3 linked regions of the Anolis sagrei genome follow. The protein of the gene in region 1 purifies or fractionates together with the protein of each later gene. This does not show direct contact. Links are inferred from orthologs where the notes say so. Each region holds a gene or a part of one and is shown in the gene's direction. Other genes may lie near its edges.

Region 1 (7,499 bases):
GTCAGGTTTTATTTCCTGAAGTATGGACTGGTTGGACCTTCTGCCAGTCCAAGGCATTCTCAGAATTTTCCTCCAACAACACAGTTCAAAAACATCTATCTTCCTTTGTTCAGCCTTCTTTATGGTCTAGCTCTCACATCCGTAGGTTGCTACGGGGTATACCATTGCTTAAACTATATGGATCTTCATTGCCAGTGTGATGTCTCTACTCTTCACTATTTTATCGAGATTGGTCATTTCTCTCCTCCCAAAAAGTAAACGTCTTCTGATTTCCTGGCTGAAGTCTGTGCCTGCAGTAATCTTTGCACCTAGAAATACAAAGTATGTCACTGCCTCCATGTTTTCTCCATGTTTGTCATGTTAATGACTACAATTTGCAATGTTAATGACTACAATTTGATAGGGTTAACAGTAGAGATCACAGCTTTTAAAATCTTCATCCAGCTGCACATTTGACAACTAGCTTGTAATGCCTAAGGATGGGACATCTAGGAGTTGTAGTTCCAAAAATGAAGAGCAGTTCATGCCTTTTCCTTTTGCTGCAGTAATGTGAACCATTTACCTTAAGTAAGGTATGTAGTTTTGGTCGCTTCACCCTTATTGTAGGATCATAGAGTCGGAAGAGACCTCGTGGGCCATGTAGTCCAACCTCCTGCCAAGAATCGGGAAAATCACATTCAAAGCCTCTGCTTAAAAGCCTTCAAAGAGGAAGCCTCCACCTTCTGTCTAGAGATACAGGTTTTGTGGCAGATGAGCATCACTCTAATGTTGCTTCTTGTGAACCATTCAGAGCAGTTATTTTCCAAGAGCATGAATTACTATTACAACATGGAGCCCCCGGTGGCGCAGTGGGTTAAAGCCCCGTGCCAACAGGACTGAAGACCGACAGGTCGCAGGTTCGAATCCGGGGAGAGGCGGATGAGCTCCCTCTATCAGCTCCAGCTCCTCATGTGGGGACATGAGAGAAACTTCCCACAAGGATGATAAAACATCAAAAAATCATCCAGGCGTCCCCTGGGCAACGTCATGTCATGTCAGAGCGGTTGCTTCTGACACGACAAAAAAAAAAACAAAACAAAAAACTATTACAACTGTGGAAAATTATAGAATACAGAAGTAGTTACCTGTTCCTCACATGGATTTCAGTGGAACAAAAGATGTCATGATGACTACTTTAATTGTATTTACTTCAGCGTGATTTTCCCAACCCAAGGCCCTCCGGATGGTTGGACTACAACTGTCCATTACCCTCAGCCAGCAATAATTGGAGGCAATAATTGGAGTGATGGGAGGTGTAATCCAGCCCATCTGGATGTCCCTGCATCTTGAAAAGTTGAGTAAAGCATGACTAACATCCTCCACTGGATTCAGTTCAGAGAGTTCATGTAAGAAAGTGCTTCTGTGAATGTGTTCTTTCATGGAAAGATTGCTCTTCAGTTTGTATTGGAAAACAGTTTGAAGACAACTTGTCCTTACCACTTTGCATCTATCTCAGCAGCCAGATGAAAACAAACTTTCTACAGTGCTCTACATGCATAGTGCCAGGTGGGTGGTGTTTAGCCTTACCATGTTTTTGCTCTTATGCCGTAAGCCAAATCTAGACTAAAAATGACTCCCAATATTTTGAGATGTATCATTCTTTTTCTCTGTGTTGCAAGCACATCTCTTTCTTTTCCATTGGTTTTAGTGGGTGAGCAAATGGCAATCTGCTCAAGGATGCCTTGTGTTTATGTTTTTTAAAATGGTTTATTTTTTAAATCTAATTTTAAAATTTCATATTTTGATCTCTTTTTCAGTGTCACTGCAAAGATTTAGAACACATCTAAAAATCAATCTAAACTTTTTTGTTTTGCTTCAATAGTACTGATCAAGATATATATTTTAAAATACTTTTGTTGGTGCGGATTAATAGAGCTGCATTTTTGGACTCTTCCTGGTGGGTTGGGATAGAAGGACATATCAGTATGTATATTATCCAGTGGCTTTAAAAAGTACTAATTTGGGTTCTTTCACATGGAATCATATGGTAGCATTGGCTCCTTTCTTGTAGGCACCCCGTCTGATCCTGTTTGAAACTCATCTGCTGCAATTGGCTTTATTGCTATGGACTGCACCCAAACCGTCCTCCTTTGTATTGTGACGGGTTCTATTCGTTTCTCTCGTCTTCAATTCGTCCCTTTAGCCAATGATGTCTGTGGAGGCGTGTCATGGGCGGACCAAACTTCCAGCTGATAGTCTGTTAGGAGTAGAAGCTGACATGTTTTCGTATATATGTATGCTTGTATGGATGAATGTTTGTATGTATTTTCTATGATGGCTTTCACATCCAGGGAGCCCTGTGAAGCATGCCAGTGATGGATTAGGACCAAAGCTGGCACACAAAGCCATCATTGTAACCATTTTAAAATACTGGCAGGGTTTGGGGGGGGGGGGGATATAACATATGATGTCAGGAGTTGTAGTCCACCACAATCCACCACGGTTCTGGCCCAACTTACCTGTCCGGACGCATCTCCCCTTACAAACCTTCCAGGACTTTAAGATTGTCTGGGGATGCCCTGCTCTTGATCCTGCATTCGTCACAAGTGCGGCTGGCGGGGACGAGAGACAGGGCCTTCTCAGTGGTGACCCCTCGGCTATGGAACACCCTCCCTAGCGAGATCAGATCGGCCCCTTCCCTTTTAACATTCCAGAAAAAAGTCAAGACGTGGCTTTTTGAGCAAGCATTTGCAAACACAGTGTAACAGACATAGGAAAATGAATGACTGGATGATGTGATTGGATAATGTTTTTAACTAGGAGACTCCAATGACACATGCTTTTGTTAACTTTTCTATGGCGTTATGCTATCTGGATGTTTTTAATTGCATTTTATGATTTTAGTACTGACTGTAAACCGCCCTGAGTCACCTCTGGGCTGAGAGGGGCAGTATATAAATATAGTAAATAAATAAATAAATAAATAAATAAGGAACCCTGTGAAACACAGCAACTATGCATCTGGACCAAAGTTGCCTCATACCCATTATGGACATCTTAAAATACTGGTAGGGGTTTGGGGGAACTGAGGGCAGATGATGGAAGTTGTAATACACCCACATCCAAAGACCAATGTGTATCCTACATTCTAGCCACTTTGAGTCCTCATCACACTGGAAAATGAATCCACTTTAAATCCAGTTTCTGCCTCATGCAAAATTTTGGAATTTGTAGTTTTGTGAGGCTTCTCCCAAAACTACAAACCCTAGAATTCTGCAGGAGGCAGAAACCGGATTTAAAGTGGATTCATTCTCTAGTGTGATGAGGTCCTGAGTGTTCTTTGTGAAGAGAGCAAGTAGAGTGTAAATAAACTTAATAATAATTAATAATAATGGGATCATTCATAAAATTCAAAAACCCACCGTTTTGCTCTTGCACAACTTGCAGCAAAAGGGAAAAAAGGGGGATGGCAGCAAGGGGACATGGCCATTGGAAACATATAGTACAGTGATGGACTGTGCGATACTGGGAAACATGTGCTAGTAATTTACAGACGGGGAAGGAATGGACAAGTGTGAATGTGTGAGTAATCCAAGCATCTGATTACAGAATGATATTAACACTGAATGAGACAGGATGGCTATTCTGGCCTCTTCAGTGGGATAGCACCCTATGCCATGCTGTGTCCACACTTCAACACTTACTTTCCTGACTGCATATTGCTGTATTGCAGCAGCCCGGTCCTACCTAATCTCATTCACAGGAAGAGGATGATATGAATTGTGGTCCAATTCATGCCAAGTTTCGGAAAACTGCTTTACTGGAACTCTTGCTCTCCCTTGCACCAATGAACCACATAGTCACAATTTATTTCTCCATGGCCCCTTCGCTCAGTACAAATATAGCACCATGATTGTACTTTAATTTTTCATGGCTCTATCTTCTGGAATCTTGGGATTTGCAGTTAATGGAGAAATATCAAATAGCTAGAGTGCTATAGTGCCATTGACTGAATTACTATTCCCTTCTTTAAGTCTTCATTTCAAGTGGAGTTTTCAGATACTTTTGTTTCACCCAGCATAGTAAAGCTGATGCCCTCAGCAGTATGCTGATGGAGGCCCGTAATTCCTGGCACTCAGAAGCCTGAGATCCTGTTACATGGATGGTGTCATGCAACCTCTGAAAGCCACTGTATTATATTGACAATCTAAAAATAAAAGAGTGAGAAAAGCAGAAAGCCAAAGCAAGCAAAACATGCTATTAAAATGGAGCCAGAGAGGGGACAAGAGAAGGGAGTGTTTCAAGGGAGGGCTCTGTGGCATGTAGCTCCTCCAAAGAAAACGTGAATAGACTGGAGGTTATTTGGCTGTTGGGGGGTAGGTGGGTGGTCTTTTTTTAGGCTGTTGCAGCCATGTGATCTACCAGAGTGCCTGGCTAATCTGCATGGGAATCTGGGGGTGGGAAACTGAGCTGTCCATCTCAATCGGGCTCTTCCTCCCATCTGCCTCCTTGGAGTCAACATCCACTGCACCTTCTTTTCGGTTCTGCCTAGGCTCTTTTGCTGCTTATTAATCCTTGAAGCAAACTGGATGGCCCTGTATGCAGCCTTTCCAATTAACTTTTAATCGGCCTTTGAAAAGTTCATGCTTTCAAAACTTCAATAGGTAAGTGAAAATTTGGCTGAAGACTACTGTGTAGTAAACAATAATTCTCACAGTCTTTCCAGTCTGGGGTATATTTTCTTGTTAAGTCTTGAAAGTGGGATGATAGCTCTGTTTACACTTTGTCAGAGCAAAAGGCAAAAAGTCTCTACTAGATAAATAATGAGTTCTCAAACCGGCAAGGAATTACAACTTTGTGGTGATTGTAATATGTTTTGTGATTATTTATTGATCTGATTCATTCCTGAGAAGAAATTAGTACATATTAAGTGGTTGTGGATCTTTACATTGTGTTCCCCAATTATGCCTTTAGATTACTATAATTATTAAAACTGGTATTTGCTCTTCATTGGAGTAACTTATTTTGTCACTGACATATTTTTATTGAAGTTTTTTTAAAAAAAAATCTAATTAAGTCTGGGAGACTTGGCTTCTGTCTGAGAAAATCCCAGAGCTGTCTATAGAGAGAAGTAATCATTTTCACACATGGTAATTAGACAGTGTTTACATGTAATGCCTGTATTTGTAATTGAGGCATCAAATTTAATTTTTAGGCCAGTACATTAAACTGAGGGGAAAGAGGCTGGAGTTACAATACGTCTCTAGAAATTACTTTTGCAAAGAGTATGAGAACCTAGAAACATATTCATCTATTAAACAAGTATTTCTGTATCACCTCCCAGCTTACAAGGGGTGAATAAAATCAATTAAAACAATGCAAGGATAAAATGCTTAAAAACACATTAAAATGCTATTTTATAAAAAGCAGACTAAAAACAGCCCTAGATATCACTTGCTCTGTGCCAAAATTGCCCTTTGTCACATGTGGTCAAGCTTAGCAGTACTGAGTTTACCTGACCATATACAAAGTGCATAAGCTTTGGGGGGGAGGGGGGGGCTCTAAAACTATGAAATAGAGTCACGGTAGCCACATTAAAAAAAATGCCCCATGTTATGTGGAAGATACCATTTCAGTAGATACCACTTGACAAAACTCATTCTTCCATACAACTATTGTCCTCTTTTTCAGGTGGCCAGTCTTGCTGGTGTGTCCAGGACAAATGAAAGGATTTGAAACACCATTACTTTTAATGGATTAGTTTTACTTAATTTTTTTAAAGATAGTGTTCCAAACTCTATGCTAAATAGGTGATGCCCATTTAAACACAGAGAATCTAACTTGAAGAACAAACATGAGACACGGACTCTTTGTGGATGTGAGATGTAGCTCCTTCATTGCCATCTTTCCACAAAGTGATTTTCTGTCATCTGGCCAAGTGTTGAGTCATGGACCTGAGCTGGAGCAGAAAGATGACAAAGTGGGACCATTCCATAATCATAATCCCCATGACTATCTCGAACCTTAGCATGAATTCAAGGTGTTTGGGATAAACAGGGGTTTCAATTTCTGGATCTACCATAATCCCATCTATCCTGAAATTGGTTCTCGGTATACAACAGATTCATATTTTCTTATTTAAATTGAAGTTCATGGCAGATGCTTTCTACAGCTCAAGAGACCACCATATTAGTCTTTGTTGTTACTTTGCATTTAGTACCTGGAAGTTGCATTTCTGTAAACAGTACAGTTACCTCCCAGTTTCCACAAATTGATTTTGACATTTTATATAAATGATGCCATTTCACTACACCATTGTATGTAACGGAACTTGAGCATCTACAGATTTTGGTGACCAGTCTCTACAAGTGGCTCTGGAACCAAACCCCAGATGTGATCAATGACCCTTACAAAGGCCACAACTCAGCACAGACTTCAGTGCTTCGTAGTGGGATTCTATCACTGAGTTGGAATTCAAATACTGATCTCCCAAATATATGTGAGATTTTCACATATTTCACATACATTTCACATACATCTAATGAATCCTTATAACAAAACTTTACAGCTAGAATGAGGAACTTGGGAGTTTCCAGTACTTAATCAACGACTGCTTCCGTCATAGTTCAATTCATGTCAGGCTGACTGTGGCTGATGGGAATGCGAGTCTAGAAAGCTATAGAGGTCCACAGGTCCCCCGGTGTTTTCTAATGCACAGAGTTACAACTTAGTAATTGATGTTTTGTATTCAGGAGCTCCAAGTTTCCTTCTCTCGCAACACCAAGTAGAACTAGGGGAAAATCTGCATAAAATTCTGGAGAGCAGCTGCCACTCAAAATGGATGGGTTTTGGTTACATGAAGCAAGGGTCTGGTGCACTATAACATAGCTTGTGTTGTTTAAAATATCTTGTTAGTCTCGAGTCCCTTTTGGCAGAATATAAATAAATAAAATAAATAATCATCTTATGTTCTGATACCAGTCCAAAATTACTATCATCTCCATATTGCAGATGAGCAGAAAGGGTTGACGAAATAATACATCGTGAAGGGATGCTGATTTTAGCTGAAGTAACACTTTAAACAAGAGGCCTCTCTTGGTTTATCTCAGCCAAGGTCCTCCTATGGCTTTGCACTAAACTAATTCTAGACTGAGGTGGAAATCATGTAGTTTGAGATGATGTTGGATTACAGCAGTCCTAGCCAGTGGAGAAATGTTGGAATAATAACAACACTTGAAGTCTGCATGATTTCTGCTTTTGCTTTAGACATAGAAATTAGTTTGCAAACAAACAAAAAGATACATAGATTAGAGGCACAACATATATCTCTTTGGATTAACTGTTTATGTTGAGAAATATTAATTTCATGTGAGTGTTCCTCTGCATTTTGCAATGACACTCTGTGTAACATAAATAGAAATTGAAAATCTGTTTTCGCTACTGCTTGGAGCATGGCACAAAAGAGGCACTGATCCTTTAAATCAGCAGGTGGGAATTATCCTTCCTACAGAACAAACAGT
Region 2 (7,053 bases), on another chromosome or scaffold:
CACTGAAGTGGATTATATGGCAGTGTGGACTCAGATAACCCAGTTCAAAGCAGTTATTGGGGATTATCTGCCTTGATATTCTGGGTTATATGGCTGTGTGGAAGGGTCCTTAGAAACTCTCATTTGAGATATGGTGGGTGGTTATCGGGAGAAAAGAAGTTTACTCTGGAGTCAATCCAGTTGTGGAATTCTCTTCCCAAATAAGGTTGCCTGGCATGCACTTTGTGATATTTTCAATGACATCATTTTAATTTACCCAGGAATGGTAAACAAGTTCAGAATCTTTGACTAGTTCAATTCATTTCTGGATGTTGCTGAAAGTTTTTGTCACACTATTTTTTTCTGTTTTCATCTTTAATTGTTTATATTCATATTTTATTATTTTTATTGTGTGATGGGAGATACCAAGGACATAGATCTGCTAAATTTGCAACTCTATTTGCCCTCAACCATACGTTCAATGCTAGGGTGGGGTGGAAATCAGTCTAGTTGTGAAGCTAGAATAAAGAAATTCTTCATTGCCACATGGAAGGGAAATATCCTTGTTGTCCCATCCACCAAGGGAGCTTTGGATAGATCTACATTCCCAGCATAATTCAGGCTGTTCTTCACACTGTAATTCTATACACACAAATCTGAGAAAAATGTTTTTGGATTTCTTTTTAAATAGGCATCCAGATGATAGTACTATCAACCACAGAATAGGGTGAAACTGTGTAACATGAGCCCTCCTACAGGTGGGACAAGAGAATGACAAAAGGGAAGAAAAGCTATCCTAGAGAAGTGTTCACTCAGGTTTTTAAAAAAGCATTTTTAATTGGTTTTCCCACTTTTGCAAGGATCTTGCACCTGTAACCCCAGAGAATGTGCACGGCCTATTGTAAAGTCAAAGTACTGTTGAAATAAGTGGAAGGTCAAGAGGATCCCAGTAGTTTATAATATGCTTCAAGCATATAACCATAAATTGGATCCAAAAACTGCAGATCCTGGATAGCGTATTGCAAAACGACATTGGCTAATAAAATGCATCAAGTAATTTCAGAAGGAAATCAGCCTGGGCTTTATAGTTACAGCAAAGGCACTGCCTTTATAGATAAGGAAAAACAAGATTGTTGTAATAGAAATACGTCATTTTATTGTCCAGATGTATATTTATATTTTGAACAAAAGGCTACTGTCAGAACCCCAGGGATACAAACAAGGGAACTATGGGAGGAAGAATTGGAAATAAAAATAGGAGAAAAGGAATTGGGAAAAATTATGGGGAGCAAGAAACCTCAAGAATTTATCAATTAGGATAAAAGAAAACTACTACAAGATGGTATGGAAATGGTACCTGACCCCGACAAAATTACACAATATGGATAAGGGTTGTTCAGAAAAATGTTGGAGGGGTTGCCAAGAAGGGGGTACATATATCTACATGTGGTGGCAAGGTACAGGGATTCTGGGGAAAAGTTATAGTAGAAAGTATTACGAAGAAAAAAATTAATATATATCCGGCGACTATACTGTTATCTATTTATAATACAGATGAATGGAAGGAAAATGAAAAGAATTTGATAACAATGTTGTTAACGGCTGCAAGGCTACAAATAGCAAAAAGGAGAGGTGAAAATTAAGACAGAAGAAATTACCAATAAATGATAACTAACATGTAATCTAAAGGTTAAAAAAGGCCTAAGGAAGGATAATGATTTTGAAAGTATATGGAAAATATTTATTGAAGAAACATTAAGGAAAGAAGATGGGAACCAACCCCTACCAGAAGAAATGAGGTTCTGGTGGGAGCATTGTGCAGAAGTCATTGATACTATGTATGTGTTTAACTGTTAGAGTATATTTGTGTTTGTAACAGTAGCTAAAATTAGAGTTATCTGGTTTGAATCCACATTGAGCGTTGCCAAGGAGACCAGGCAGGCTAGCTCAGGAGAGTGAGAAGTGGGCGGAGCCAAGCAGGAAAAGTTATAGGTGTCTTTGGAAAAGGACCAGAGTGTGGGAGAGTGGAGGCTTAAAAAAGCCTGGGAGAGACGGGTGTGTGAGCAGCTGGAGGTTTTTCAGTCTAGAAGGGCTGAAGAGAGAAACCTGACCAGTTTCTTTAGTCAAGGAAGACTAAAGGAAGCCTGTTAGGATCCCTAGTCAAGGAAGGACTAGAGATCAGAGATTTGATCAAGGAAAGATCAAATTGGAAGGCTAGTTATAGTGGGAAACATTGTTCACTAAAGAGCTTCACCTCAGTAAAAGTCGGCCACAAGCTGTGTTATTTGAAAGAGTGGACTATATTAAAACCAAGTGACATTCAGAGTTCTATAAGTTATTTTAACAGCCTGCAACCATACGCTTTGTACACAATAAACTTGTTATCTTTTGTTAAAAACCGTCTCATCTCATCTAACCTGTCTAATATCACCTAATCTCATCGGTGATACCTCAAATACCTCACATTGGTGGCAGTTACCTTGATTTACAACTAATAATTGGCCTCCTCTATAATATATTCTTATACACAATTGAGGCCTGAGATTAATTCCCTCCACAATCATCCACATCTGCACAATTGGTTTGCGCATCTTCTCAAGCATAAAGAAAAGAACTCCAGAGATGGGGACCACAAGGGGTAGCACAATGGGGGGAAAGGAGAAGTAATTATATGAATTGTAGAGATTGTTTTGCAATGAAATGAATGCAATAATGGTCATATATTCCAGTTCAAAGCAGATAATGTGGTATTTTAATCAGCTGTGTGGAAGGGGTCGCAGTGAACTGGAACTCAAGCAACTGGAGGCCTTCCCACAAGGCTGTATAAAATCCCACATTAACTGCTTTGAACTGGAATATATTGTAGTGTGGACTCAGATAACCCAGTTCAAAGCAGATATTGTGAATTATCTACCTTGATATTCTGAGTTATATGGCTGTGTGGAAGGGCCCCGAGAGTTCACTGTTCTCAATAAATGTTCTTCCAAGCTTTTAAGCAGAGGCTGGATGGCCATCTGTCAGGGGTGATTTGAATGCAATATTCCTGCTTCTTGGCAGGGGGTTGGACTGGATGGCCCATGAGGTCTCTTCCAACTCTTTGATTCTATGATTCTAAGCCCCAGCCTTCTTACAAGTAGATAAATTCAATGAAAAGTCACGTTTTCAATCTGAATCCTGGGATTTGTAGTTTGGCGAGGCAACAATTCGTTAGCAAAGGAGGCTACAGACTAAAGGCTAGCTTCCATGATTCCATAGCATTCATTCCACAGTGTAGATCGACCCTTGGCCCAAACCAAGCCAATGCCTTTGATGTTGAAGCTAACTGGGAAGGGAGTTCCACGAGTATCCATTAACACTTACTTCTGTGGATCCAGCCACTGACTAAACGTGTTCGGAGGGAGCCTGCAAGCGACTTCCGGAAACAGTGAGACTAAGGCTGGCCTTGCTGCTGGAGTGGACAGTACCATTATTCCCACAAAGGTGGGGAAGTCTAAGTATCTCAACGAACGTCCCTTCTCTACTTTCCACTGAAAAGCAAAAAGCAAAACAAAGGCAAGTCGTTTACCACATTGTCTTTGAGAGCAGCTCGGATTTTAAAGGCTTGCGTTTCTCAATGGCCTCTATTGTCATTTGAAAAGAAAACATCCCCCCCCCCCCCAAAAAAAAGAACCATCTGAGAATAACTAAATTATAGAGGTAGGAAACTATAGAGTCATTAGAAACCTGCAGTTGTATAGGAAGCCGTCATTGACACATGACGCTGAGGAGCTCGAGGCTATGGCATTATAAGGGCCCTTCCACACAGCCCTATATCCCAGAATATCTGCTTTGAACTGGATTTTTTGAGGTAAAGTGGGATTTCCTGCCTCGATATTTTGGAATATAGGGCTGTGTGGAAGCGCCCCAAGAAAGAAACTCTGTAGAAAAAAAATGGCCCCTTGCGCATGCGCAGTTGCTCGCACTGCTCGTGGACACTTCCAGAATAGGAGTCGTCGCGCGAAGAGTTCGAGAAAGCCCTTCGCCGCAAAGAGGTGGCCGGTGCGCATGCGCCTGTTCTTTCATTGGGCGGTCTCGCGAGAAGAGAAGAGCGAGCGAGAGGCGTCCGCGTTGTGGTAGCGGCGCTCACGCGGGTTCTTTTCTTTTCCTCGTTGCCGTTAGCCCGGCTCTGTTTGCATCATGTCGGCCGTGGGGACGCTGGCCTTTGACGAGTATGGACGACCTTTTTTCATCCTCAAGGACCAGGACCGGAAAACCCGCGTGACAGGCATAGAGGCCTTGAAGGTGAGAGCCATGGCGGGGAAGGCGTTGGGCGGTGGTTGTAGGCCCTTCCTATGTTCTCTCTCTCTCTCACCCCCCCCCCCACCTCGAGTTGGAAGATTCCTTCTCCATATACTTGAGGCGTACAATGGGCGGTACCATTTCGCACTGCGGGGAGGGATGGCCTAGTCATGCTTTCCCTTGCATTCTGGTGGCAGAGAATCGAAATACAGACTTTGCTACATCAGTGTAGGCTAGGCCTGAGCAAACTTCGGCCCTCCAAGTGTTTTGGACTTCAACTCCCACAATTCCTAACAGGACTCTTCCTTCTATTCAGCTCTAAGAAAAAATGAAAGATTGAAAAGAAGATGCTTACGCAAAGAATGGCAAACACAGTAGGGTACTGAAACATTTGAAAGCAGCCTTCTTCAAACAGGCAATTTCAGATCTGATGGACTATAACTCCCATTATCCTAGCAAATATTGTCATTGGGGGATTTATTTATTTACTTCATTTATATACCGCTTTTCTCAGCCCCCAGGCAGCTCAAAGCAGTTAACAACAGCAAAATTCAATGCAAAACATCACAAAACCATTAATGGACAATTAAAACAATAGCATCATCAACAATTAAACAATATAACAATCCTCACCACCTCTGAGGATGCTTGCCATAGATGCAGGTGAAACGTCAGGAGAAAAATTGCCTCCAGAACATGGCCATATAGCCCGGAAAAACCTACAACAACCCAGTGATTCCGGCCATGAAAGCCTTCGACAATACAATATAACAATCATTAGCGTCTCATCAGTAAAATCAGAATCCATTCTCATCATACGTTAATCCGTGTTCCTATATTCATTACACCAGCAGCAACAGTGCAGAAAACATGCAGACAAAAGCACATGATTAGAAATGTCATTGAATTGGGTAATAATGACAGTTCTGAGTGGAACGCATGCACATTAGAAGGTTCAATAATAATAATAAGCTTATACCCCACCACAATCTCCCCCAATGGGGACTCGGGGCGGCTTACATGAGGCCAAGCCCAAACAACAAGTTACAATAAAATAAGATACAAATTGCAATAAAATAAACAATATAGCATTAAAATATAAAACATATAAACAATATACACAAAACATAAAAAAAAGTAAACCAGACATAATGACAATGAGCGTGCCGTATGTACATAAAATGATTTAAAAACTCAGGGTGAGATAAAGGAGCAGAATTATTTGTAAGGGAGTGTGCAATTTACAATGAGACCCAATTTGTGTGAATGACAATGGACTGACCTGGACTATGATTTCAAATCTGCGTGATTTAAACAAATGTTTTAGTGATTTCAAAGCATTAACAATTTTTTTAAATTTCTTTTACAATTTATTACTCTTGTTGGCATTGAATGAATGCCTGTTGTAAAGCTGCTCTGAGTTCCCCTCCAGGAGTAAGAAGGACATGATACAAATATGGGGAATAATAAATAAATCAGGACAGGGTTTTAATCTTGTATGTGTAGATACAGTACATGCAAGCTGGGCTAAAGTAAAATGTTTTTTGTGGTTATATTTAACTGCAGATATATTTCTGTAAATACATAATTAATAGATTTCTGCTGAAATAGTGGAGAAAAACTTTATAAAGCGTAGTTTTAGTATCACCCTTTGTTGGTATCAGTTGGGGTAGTTTGCATCCTGTGCATCTCCATAGTGCTTCCACTGGATGGAAGAACCTCAGTTACTAATGCCTGAAAATGCAACCAAGTGTATGGCTGACTTACGTGCAGCCCATCCCCACTCCAAATAAAAATAATAATGTCTAAGTAAGTGAGACCAGCAGGTGAACAACCTTTTAAGATCGTTTGCTGGACCCTGATGATCTTGCTAACTCAGGCATGGCTGGTACACTGTTAGGAATTATAGGAGTTGAAGTTCAAAACACCTGGAGGGCTGGAGTTTGCCTAGGCCTGGTGTAGATAATTCTTTCTTCCAGTGCATTGTGAAGTGGTGCCATTCCTTTTGTCATTGAACTCTGCCAATCCAGAATAATGAAAATAGCCTGATGAGTTAGTACAGGATGGATATCCCTTATCTGAAAGTAGAACCAGAAGTGTGTGGGATTCCAGATTTTGGGGAGATTTTGGAACACTTTTATTTGGATCTGTATGTACATAATGAAAAGACAGACCTCCCAGTTTTACAGAAGTGAAGTAGAAGCTACATTCATACGTCCCAGGAACAGATGGCTTACTCCCTCAAAGGGCAGCTTCAATTCTCAGCGAGAACAACAATGAGATATCGTAGGGTGCAGCAACACCAGGCGTGGCAAATTTTGGCCCTCCAGGTGTTTTGGACTTCAACTCTCACAATTCCTAACAGCCTACCAGCTGTTAGGAATTGTGAGACTTGAAGTCCAAAACACCCAGAGGGCCAAAGTTTGCCCATGTCTGATCTACCTTGTAGAAGTAATGCAGTTTGACACCAAATTACTGTCCATGGGATCATGGGAGTTGTAGTTTGGTTTAGAATCAGTACTTTTTGTCAGAAAAAGGTGAAGATTTTGTAAAACTACAGCTTCCATGATCCAATAACATTAAGCCATGGCAGTTCAAGTGGTGTCAGGCTGCATTAATTCTGCAGTGTAGATGTACCCCAGGAGATGGGACAATAACTCCAAGCTGAAAATTCATTGATGTTTCATATACACGTAGCCTGGAGGTCATTTTAAAATAATATCTTTAAGGCTTTTGTGCATGAAACAAAGGTTTGTGCACATTGAAGCATCAGAAAACAAAGATATCACTGAGGCC
Region 3 (7,295 bases), on another chromosome or scaffold:
AGTAGGCCTATTAAGAATGCTTATCCAAAAAAGGGAGGAACTGGTGAATCTCCTTCATTTTCTTTCCTATGTATCAAAGAACACCTATCTAAAGTTTTACACTAAAAGAAAGCCAAGGAAAATGTCATACACTTAGCTTTTCCTCATATCTTCATTCATAAATTATATTGACCTCCAGAATCCCTTGAAACTGTCCATAAATACACTGAAACAATAATTTTATTCTAATTTATCTATTCGTTTTTTGCATTGGTAGATAGTAAATCTTTCCCTGAATAATTGGGCTAAATCAGTCATAACCACAGTACGTTCACCAAACTTGTTATGTCCATAATTGCGACTAAAGCGCTGGATGTGAAAATGTTGAGTATTTTTCTCTTTTTAATAGAGACATATTAGACAATGGCATCAAAAGAAACTGTAATGGTGTTTTGGTAGTTTAATTACAATACAGCTAGAACATTTTCAGGGAGAGTCATGCCATTTATGCCCCAGCCTGGAATTTGAAAGGCAGCAGAACAGCTGAAGAAAGGGGGTGACAGTCATTTCGTGAAATGAAAGAAGAGACTGCAAAATAGAAAGTATAATAAAGTCGTTGGAAGCAGCTGTCAATTCCTTTCTAACCCCCACAAATTTTCTTTTCAAGTTGTCAGGAGCAGAAAAACACACCCACAAATCAAGGCATTCCTTCTGTAGACTTGTCAACTATCCTTCAGAGTCCTGCTGAATTCAGAGTTCTCAAAGTATTCCTTTCTGGCAAACCTTTTGTGAGTTACAGAAACATGGCAATCTTATTGCTTGATGGGAAACCCCCAAATTGGGCCCCAAATCATTGACATCTTTGGCAGAGAAACCTTGTAAATCTATAACTTCCAGGATTCCATAGCATTGAGCAATTGCCAATTAAAGTGGTGCCAAGTTTCATTAATTCTGGAGTACAGATGCATCCAAAGTTAAAGTTAACAACCACAATAATGTGATAAAGCACATATATTGTCATTTAAGCCAGGGAGACAACAGTTGAGGCTCTTGATATAGTTCACGTCTTTCACATTGCAATACGTATGAAATGCTGTCTGAGGATAGTTGCTTGTCATATATATAAAAGGCAGAAAAGCATTGCTGCTAAATAATGATATATAGTATTGTTTCTTAAACTGTGGGTCCTGACCCCAAATGGGGTCCCCTTAGCACAATGCTGGGATCATGAACAATAAAAGGTTTCTGAATGCCACACAAATCTGTTAGCAACAACCTTCCTAATGTCGTGACCCCTTAATACAGCTTAATACTGGTGGGGTTGGGGGGACTTGATTCTGTCATTTGGAAGTAGTAGTTGCTGAGATTTATAGTTCCCTTACAAAGTGCATTCTGAACTCCACCAATGATAGAATTGGGCCAAACTTCCCACACTGAACCCCCTCACCAACACAAAATACAGTTTTCTCCAATGGTCTTTGGATACCCCTCTGACATTCTCACGCGACCCCCCCCCCCCAGGGGTCCTGAGCCCCAGGTTAAGAAACACTGGTTTACAGTGAACTCTGCAGAAAATGCTTCACCTGTATTTCACAAAAGGAAAATCGGCCTGTTTATCAAGCCTTGCAAATGTTGATTGATTTTAAATAAATGTTTGATTTTTATATCTACTTCATGTATCTATATATTTGGAGTCACATAAAAATTTCTCGGTCGGAAGGGTCCAGAAGCCCGGATATATAGCACAATGTAAGATATGGAGGTAAATGGAGTTCTGATATTGTGGATGACATAATTTGCTCCTGTAACAGCCTTTCCGTAGCATATATGAAGGTGGGCTTCTTCTTATATAACATGGGAGACAAGATCCCTGAGCACCAGGTGCACATAAATAAAATGCTTCTCCCCTAGCCTTCTCAATTAAAATGATGCATATCACCAGTCAGTAAGCAAATGATTTGAGGTTAACTATGTTTTTTTTTTTAAAAAAAATCAAGAATCCTTTCAAAAGCATATAAACTTCTGGTGTGTGAATCATATCTATCTATCTATCTATCTATCTATCTGTATCTATGGCTGGATGGCTCTTTGACAGAGGGACTTTGATTACGTTTTCTTGCCCTGATGAAGGGAGTTGGATGGCCTTAAGTATTTTCTGTTGGTTGTGGGTGTCCTGTGTGGGAAGTTTGCCTGATTCTGTCGTTCATGGGGTTCAGAATGCTCTTCGATTGTAGGTGAACTGTGAATCCCAGTGACTATAGCTCCCAAATGTCAAGGTCTATTTCCCCCAAACTCCATCTGTGTTCATATTTAGGTGTATTGAGTGCTTGTGCCACGTTTGGTCCAGATCCATCATTGTTTGACTCCAAAGTGCTCTCTGGATGTAGGTGAATTACAACTCCCAAACTCAAGGTCAATGCCCACCAAACCCTTCTAGTGTTGTCTGTTGGTTATGGGAGTCCTGTGTGCCAAGTTTGGTTCAATTCCCTCGTTGACAGAGTTCAGAATGCTTTGATTATAGGTGAACTATAAATCCCAATAACTACAACTCCCAAATTACAAAATCGTAATTTTTTGAGTGATGGTCACTCCTTGTATTGTGAGACGTTTTGTTGCCAAATTTGGGGTGATTTCGTTCATTGGGTTTTTTTGTTTTTAAGGTACTCATTATGCACAGAGCATTTTTTTATATATAGATTATTATATAAATATAATAAATATAAGTTTTATAGATTACAAAACAGAGGAACACTGAAGAAATGGAGTAGCCTACATATTATGTATATAATTTATAATGTATATTATATAAATATAATATACATTATATTGTGTAATTTACATTAGATGATGTATATTATATAAATATAACATATATCATATTATGTAATTCATATAATTTATATTATTATATAAATATAATAAATACAAGTTTTATAGATTACAAAACTACGCTTTCGATATTATCTTCTATTTTTTCTCTTTAGTGCAACAATTTTTTTTATGCAATGAAACCCCTTGTTTATGTAAAACTTATAAAACACTTTGTTGTTGTTCATTCGTTCAGTCGTCTCCGACTCTTCGTGACCTCCTGGACCAGCCCACGCCAGAGCTCCCTGTCGGCCGTCACCACCCCCAGCTCCTTCTGGTCAGTCTGGTCACTTCAAGGATGCCATCCATCCATCTTAAAACACTTTATATTATATATAATATATATAAATAAAAATGTAATGTTCTTTTGTGGGATTAACAGAACTCAAAAACCACTGAGCGAATTGACACCAAATTTGGACGCAAGACACCTATCAGGCCAAGGAGTGACCATCACTCATAAAATCACTGAAGAACACAGTGGAAGAGACTTTAAAAAGCCAAAATAAAAAAAAATACATTACAACGCAAGCACAAAAGCACATATACACAACTATATGCACACATACACACACACAAAACACATATACACAGACTGGGCCACAGCAACGCGTGGCAGGGCGTGGCTAGTATAATAATTCTATACATTACCAAAACATGTGATAAATCATAGAATCATAGAATCAAAGAGTTGGAAGAGACCTCATGGGCCATCCAGTCCAACCCCATTCTGCCAAGAAGCAGGAATATTGCATTCAAATCACCCCTGACAGATGGCCATCCAGCCCCTGTTTAAAAGCTTCCAGTGAATATATTAGGAAAATATGCTCTTTTGGGGGGTAATATTGCATTCAAATCACCCCTGACAGATGGCCATCCAGCCCGTTTAAAAGCTTCCAGTGAATATATTAGGAAAATATGCTCTTTTGGGGGGTAATATTGCATTCAAATCACCCCTGACAGATGGCCATCCAGCCCGTTTAAAAGCTTCCAGTGAATATATTAGGAAAATATGCTCTTTTGGGGGGTAATATTGCATTCAAATCACCCCTGACAGATGGCCATCCAGCCCGTTTAAAAGCTTCCAGTGAATATATTAGGAAAATATGCTCTTTTTGGGGGGGTATTGTTTTGGTTCTCACTAGGTTTTTCTTCACTTTACTTCAGAATCAAAAATGAATGTTTAAAAATGTAGGCCTTCCCCTTTAAAAAAAAAAAAACCACTTCGCCACAAAGTTTAAATTCAGGGTAAAAAAAAGAACCCGGAAAGAGGCACGTGAGACCCACTCCTCCAGCCCCTCCCCTCCGGGCCGCGTTCTCACCAAGCCTTTGCCGTCTCCCGCCACCCTATTGGTCCGCGTCCCTACCTTTAACCTCTCACCCAGCGTTTCCCCCCCAATCGCGTGCGCTCTTTCATCCAACAGGGGCGACGCCAACGCGCGTGCGCCGAGAGGAGGGAGGAAAGCAATACGTGAGGCGAGGAGAGAGTGAGGAGAGAACTGTGTAGCACCAGGCAGCGGCGGCTTCGAATTCTCGAAGAGAGAGGGAGGCGAGGGCGGAGCTGCGCCTGCGCGGGAGGGGAAGAGGCTCGTCTGCGCCGGCCTCAGGTGAATGGAGGGACCTGACAGTTGAGCCCAGGAGGAGGAGGAGGCGGAGGAGCAATGGCGGCGGGAGGAGGAGGAGGAAGAGGAGGAGCGGCGGCGGCAGCAGCAATGGCGGCACAATGAGGCGACGCCTGTAGCCGGGAGCGGGACCCACCTGGCAGGTAGGTAGGAAGGAAGGAAGGAGGCGCCGCCGCCCTCCTCAGGAGGAGCCGCGTGAGGCCTAGCACCTGCTACGGGAGCCGGCGGCCCCTTTCTTCCCTGCCTTCTCTCCCTCCTCGAGTGGGAAGGATGGGCCGAAGAGAAGGAGGAGGAGGAGGCCTTTGTCTGGCCAGGCAACGCGGTCGGGGCCTTTCCTCCCCTTCGCCGCCTTTGCTGCTTCTACTGACTTAGGACACAAAATCTAACTTTGGCCCTCCAAGGGTTTTGGACTTCAACTCCCACACTTTCCTGTGTGAGGTCAAACACACCTGGTTGGGGCACTTGGAGGGGAAGAAAGGAACATTTATTAAAGAAGTTACACTATATTTATTTATTTACTTTACTTGTATACCGCAGTTTCTCAGCCCAACAGGCGACTCAACGCGGTTTACAACAAGAATAAGAATCAATCAACAATATACAGTTTAAAACCATAAAAGCATAATATACAATATTGACACAACAATAGACAACACAATGCATCTCATAACTAGAGTCGTGATCCAATTCGTCAAATTTCCATTCCTGTAATCATCACATTCATTGCACTGTTTAACCGAATGCCCGTTCAAACATAGGCAATTATGCACTTTATGCTACAAATTCTAGGAATCATTGAATTGGAAGAGACCTTGTGGGCCATCCAGTCCAACCCCGTTCTGCCAAGAAGCAGGAAAATCGCATTTCTTTATTATTTAAAACATTTATATTCCGCCCTTCTCACCCCAAAGGGGACTCAGGGTGGAGCACAGCATATACACGGCAAACATTCAATGCCGGGACACAAATCCACATACAATACATAAAAACTAAAAACATTTATCAAAATGTATTGTCGAAGGCATTCATGGCCAGAATCACTCGGTTGTTGTAGGTTTTTTTCGGGCTATATGGCCATGGTCTAGAGCAGGGGTCCCCAAACTAAGGCCTGGGGGCCGGATGTGGCCCTCCAAGGTCATTTACCCGGCCCCCACACAGGGTCAACCTAAGTCTGTAACGACTCAAAAGCACACAACAACAACAATCCTATCTCATTAGCCAAAAGCAGGCCCACACTTCCCATTGAAATACTAATATATTTATATTTGTTAAAATTGTTCTTCATTTTAATTATTGTATTGTTTTTAAGTGTTTTTTGCACTACAAATAAGATATGTGCCGTGTGCATAGGAATTCATTCATGTTTTTTTCAAATTATAATCCAGCCCTCCAACAGTTTGAGGGACTGTGACCTGGCCCTCTGTTTAAAAAGTTTGAGGACCCCTGGTCTAGAGGCATTCTCTCCTGACGTTTCGCTTGCATCTATGGCAAGCATCCTCAGAGGAAGTGAGGTCTGTTGGAACTAGGCAAAATATTATCAAAATATTGAAATACACAATTCAAAGCACCCCTGACAGATGGCCATCAGTTTAAAAGCCTCCAAAGAAGAAGCCTCCACCACACTCCGGGGCAGAGAGTTCCACTGCTGAACAGCTCTCACAGTCAGGAAGTTTTTCCTAATGTTAAGGAAGAATCTTGTATGAAGCCATTGCTCCATGTCCTAGTCTCCATGGCAGCAGAAAACAAGCTTGCTCCCTCCTCCCTGTGACTTCCACTCACATATTTATACATGGCCATCATGTCTCCTCTCAGCCTTCTCTTCTTCAGGCTAAACATACCCAGCTCTTTAAGACGCTCCTCATTTGAATGTTCTTTCTAAACATTTTCATATGGTGTTAGTACAAATTGAGTTATGTAGAATCATAGAGTTGGAAGAGACCCCATGAGCCAAGAAGCAGGAAAATCAAATTCAAAGCACCCTCGACAGATGGCCATCCAGCCTCTGTTTAAAAGCTTCCAAAGAAGGAGCCTCCACCACACTCCGGGGCAGAGAGTTCCACTGCTGAACGGCTCTCACAGTCAGGAAGTTCTTCCTCATGTTCAGATGGAATCTCCTCTCTTGTAGTTTGAAGCCATTGTTCTGCGTCCTAGTCTCCAAGGAAGCAGAAAACAAGCTTGCTCCCTCCTCCCTGTGGCTTCCCCTCACATATTTATACATGGCTATCATATCTCCTCTCAGCCTTCTCTTCTTCAGGTTAAACATGCCCAGCTCCTTAAGCCACTCCTCATAGGTCTTGTTCTCCAGACCCTTGATCATTTTAGTCACCCTCCTCTGGACACATTCCAGCTTGTCAATATCTCGCTTAAATTGTGGTGCCCAGAATTGGACACAATATTCCAGGTGTGGTCTAACCAAGGCAGAATAGAGCCTGGGGAGCATGACTTCCCTAGATCTAGACACTATGCTCCTATTGATGCAGGCCAAAATCCCATTGGCTTTTTTTGCCGCCACATCACATAGTTGGCTCATGTTTAAATTTAAAATATTTATATTCCGCCCTTCTCACCCCAAAGGGGACTCAGGGTGGAGCACAGCATATAAACAGCAAACATTCAATGCCGGGACACAAATCCACATACAATACATAAAAACTAAAAACATTTATCAAAATGTATTGTCGAAGGCTTTCATGGCCAGAATCACTGGGTTGTTGTAGGTTTTTTCGGGCTATATGGCCATGGTCTAGAGGCATTCTCTCCTGACGTTTCGCCTGCATCTATGGCAAGCATCCTCAGAGGTAGTGAGATCTGTTGGAACTAGGCAAA

The links. The genes of interacting proteins can lie anywhere in the genome.
Region 2: the proteins of RAF1 (region 1) and CCT5 purify together in Homo sapiens (affinity purification with mass spectrometry; 3 studies listed by BioGRID and IntAct, with this or other methods). This does not show direct contact. The link is inferred for Anolis sagrei from reciprocal best matches to the Homo sapiens genes RAF1 and CCT5.
Region 3: the proteins of RAF1 (region 1) and DICER1 purify together in Homo sapiens (affinity purification with mass spectrometry; 3 studies listed by BioGRID and IntAct, with this or other methods). This does not show direct contact. The link is inferred for Anolis sagrei from reciprocal best matches to the Homo sapiens genes RAF1 and DICER1.

What each region holds. Positions count from the first base shown.
Region 1 is NC_090022.1:64,260,447-64,267,945, forward strand, and holds the start of RAF1 (RAF proto-oncogene serine/threonine-protein kinase), read left to right. Parts: upstream 1-4,480; 5' UTR 4,481-4,643; intron 4,644-7,499. UniProt on the Homo sapiens protein: Serine/threonine-protein kinase that acts as a regulatory link between the membrane-associated Ras GTPases and the MAPK/ERK cascade, and this critical regulatory link functions as a switch determining cell fate decisions including proliferation, differentiation, apoptosis, survival and oncogenic transformation.
Region 2 is NC_090024.1:140,479,287-140,486,339, reverse strand, and holds the start of CCT5 (T-complex protein 1 subunit epsilon), read left to right. Parts: upstream 1-4,033; 5' UTR 4,034-4,155; coding exon 4,156-4,260; intron 4,261-7,053. UniProt on the Homo sapiens protein: Component of the chaperonin-containing T-complex (TRiC), a molecular chaperone complex that assists the folding of actin, tubulin and other proteins upon ATP hydrolysis.
Region 3 is NC_090021.1:318,038,584-318,045,878, reverse strand, and holds the start of DICER1 (endoribonuclease Dicer), read left to right. Parts: upstream 1-4,275; 5' UTR 4,276-4,454; exon of another isoform or gene 4,455-4,616; intron 4,617-7,295. UniProt on the Homo sapiens protein: Double-stranded RNA (dsRNA) endoribonuclease playing a central role in short dsRNA-mediated post-transcriptional gene silencing.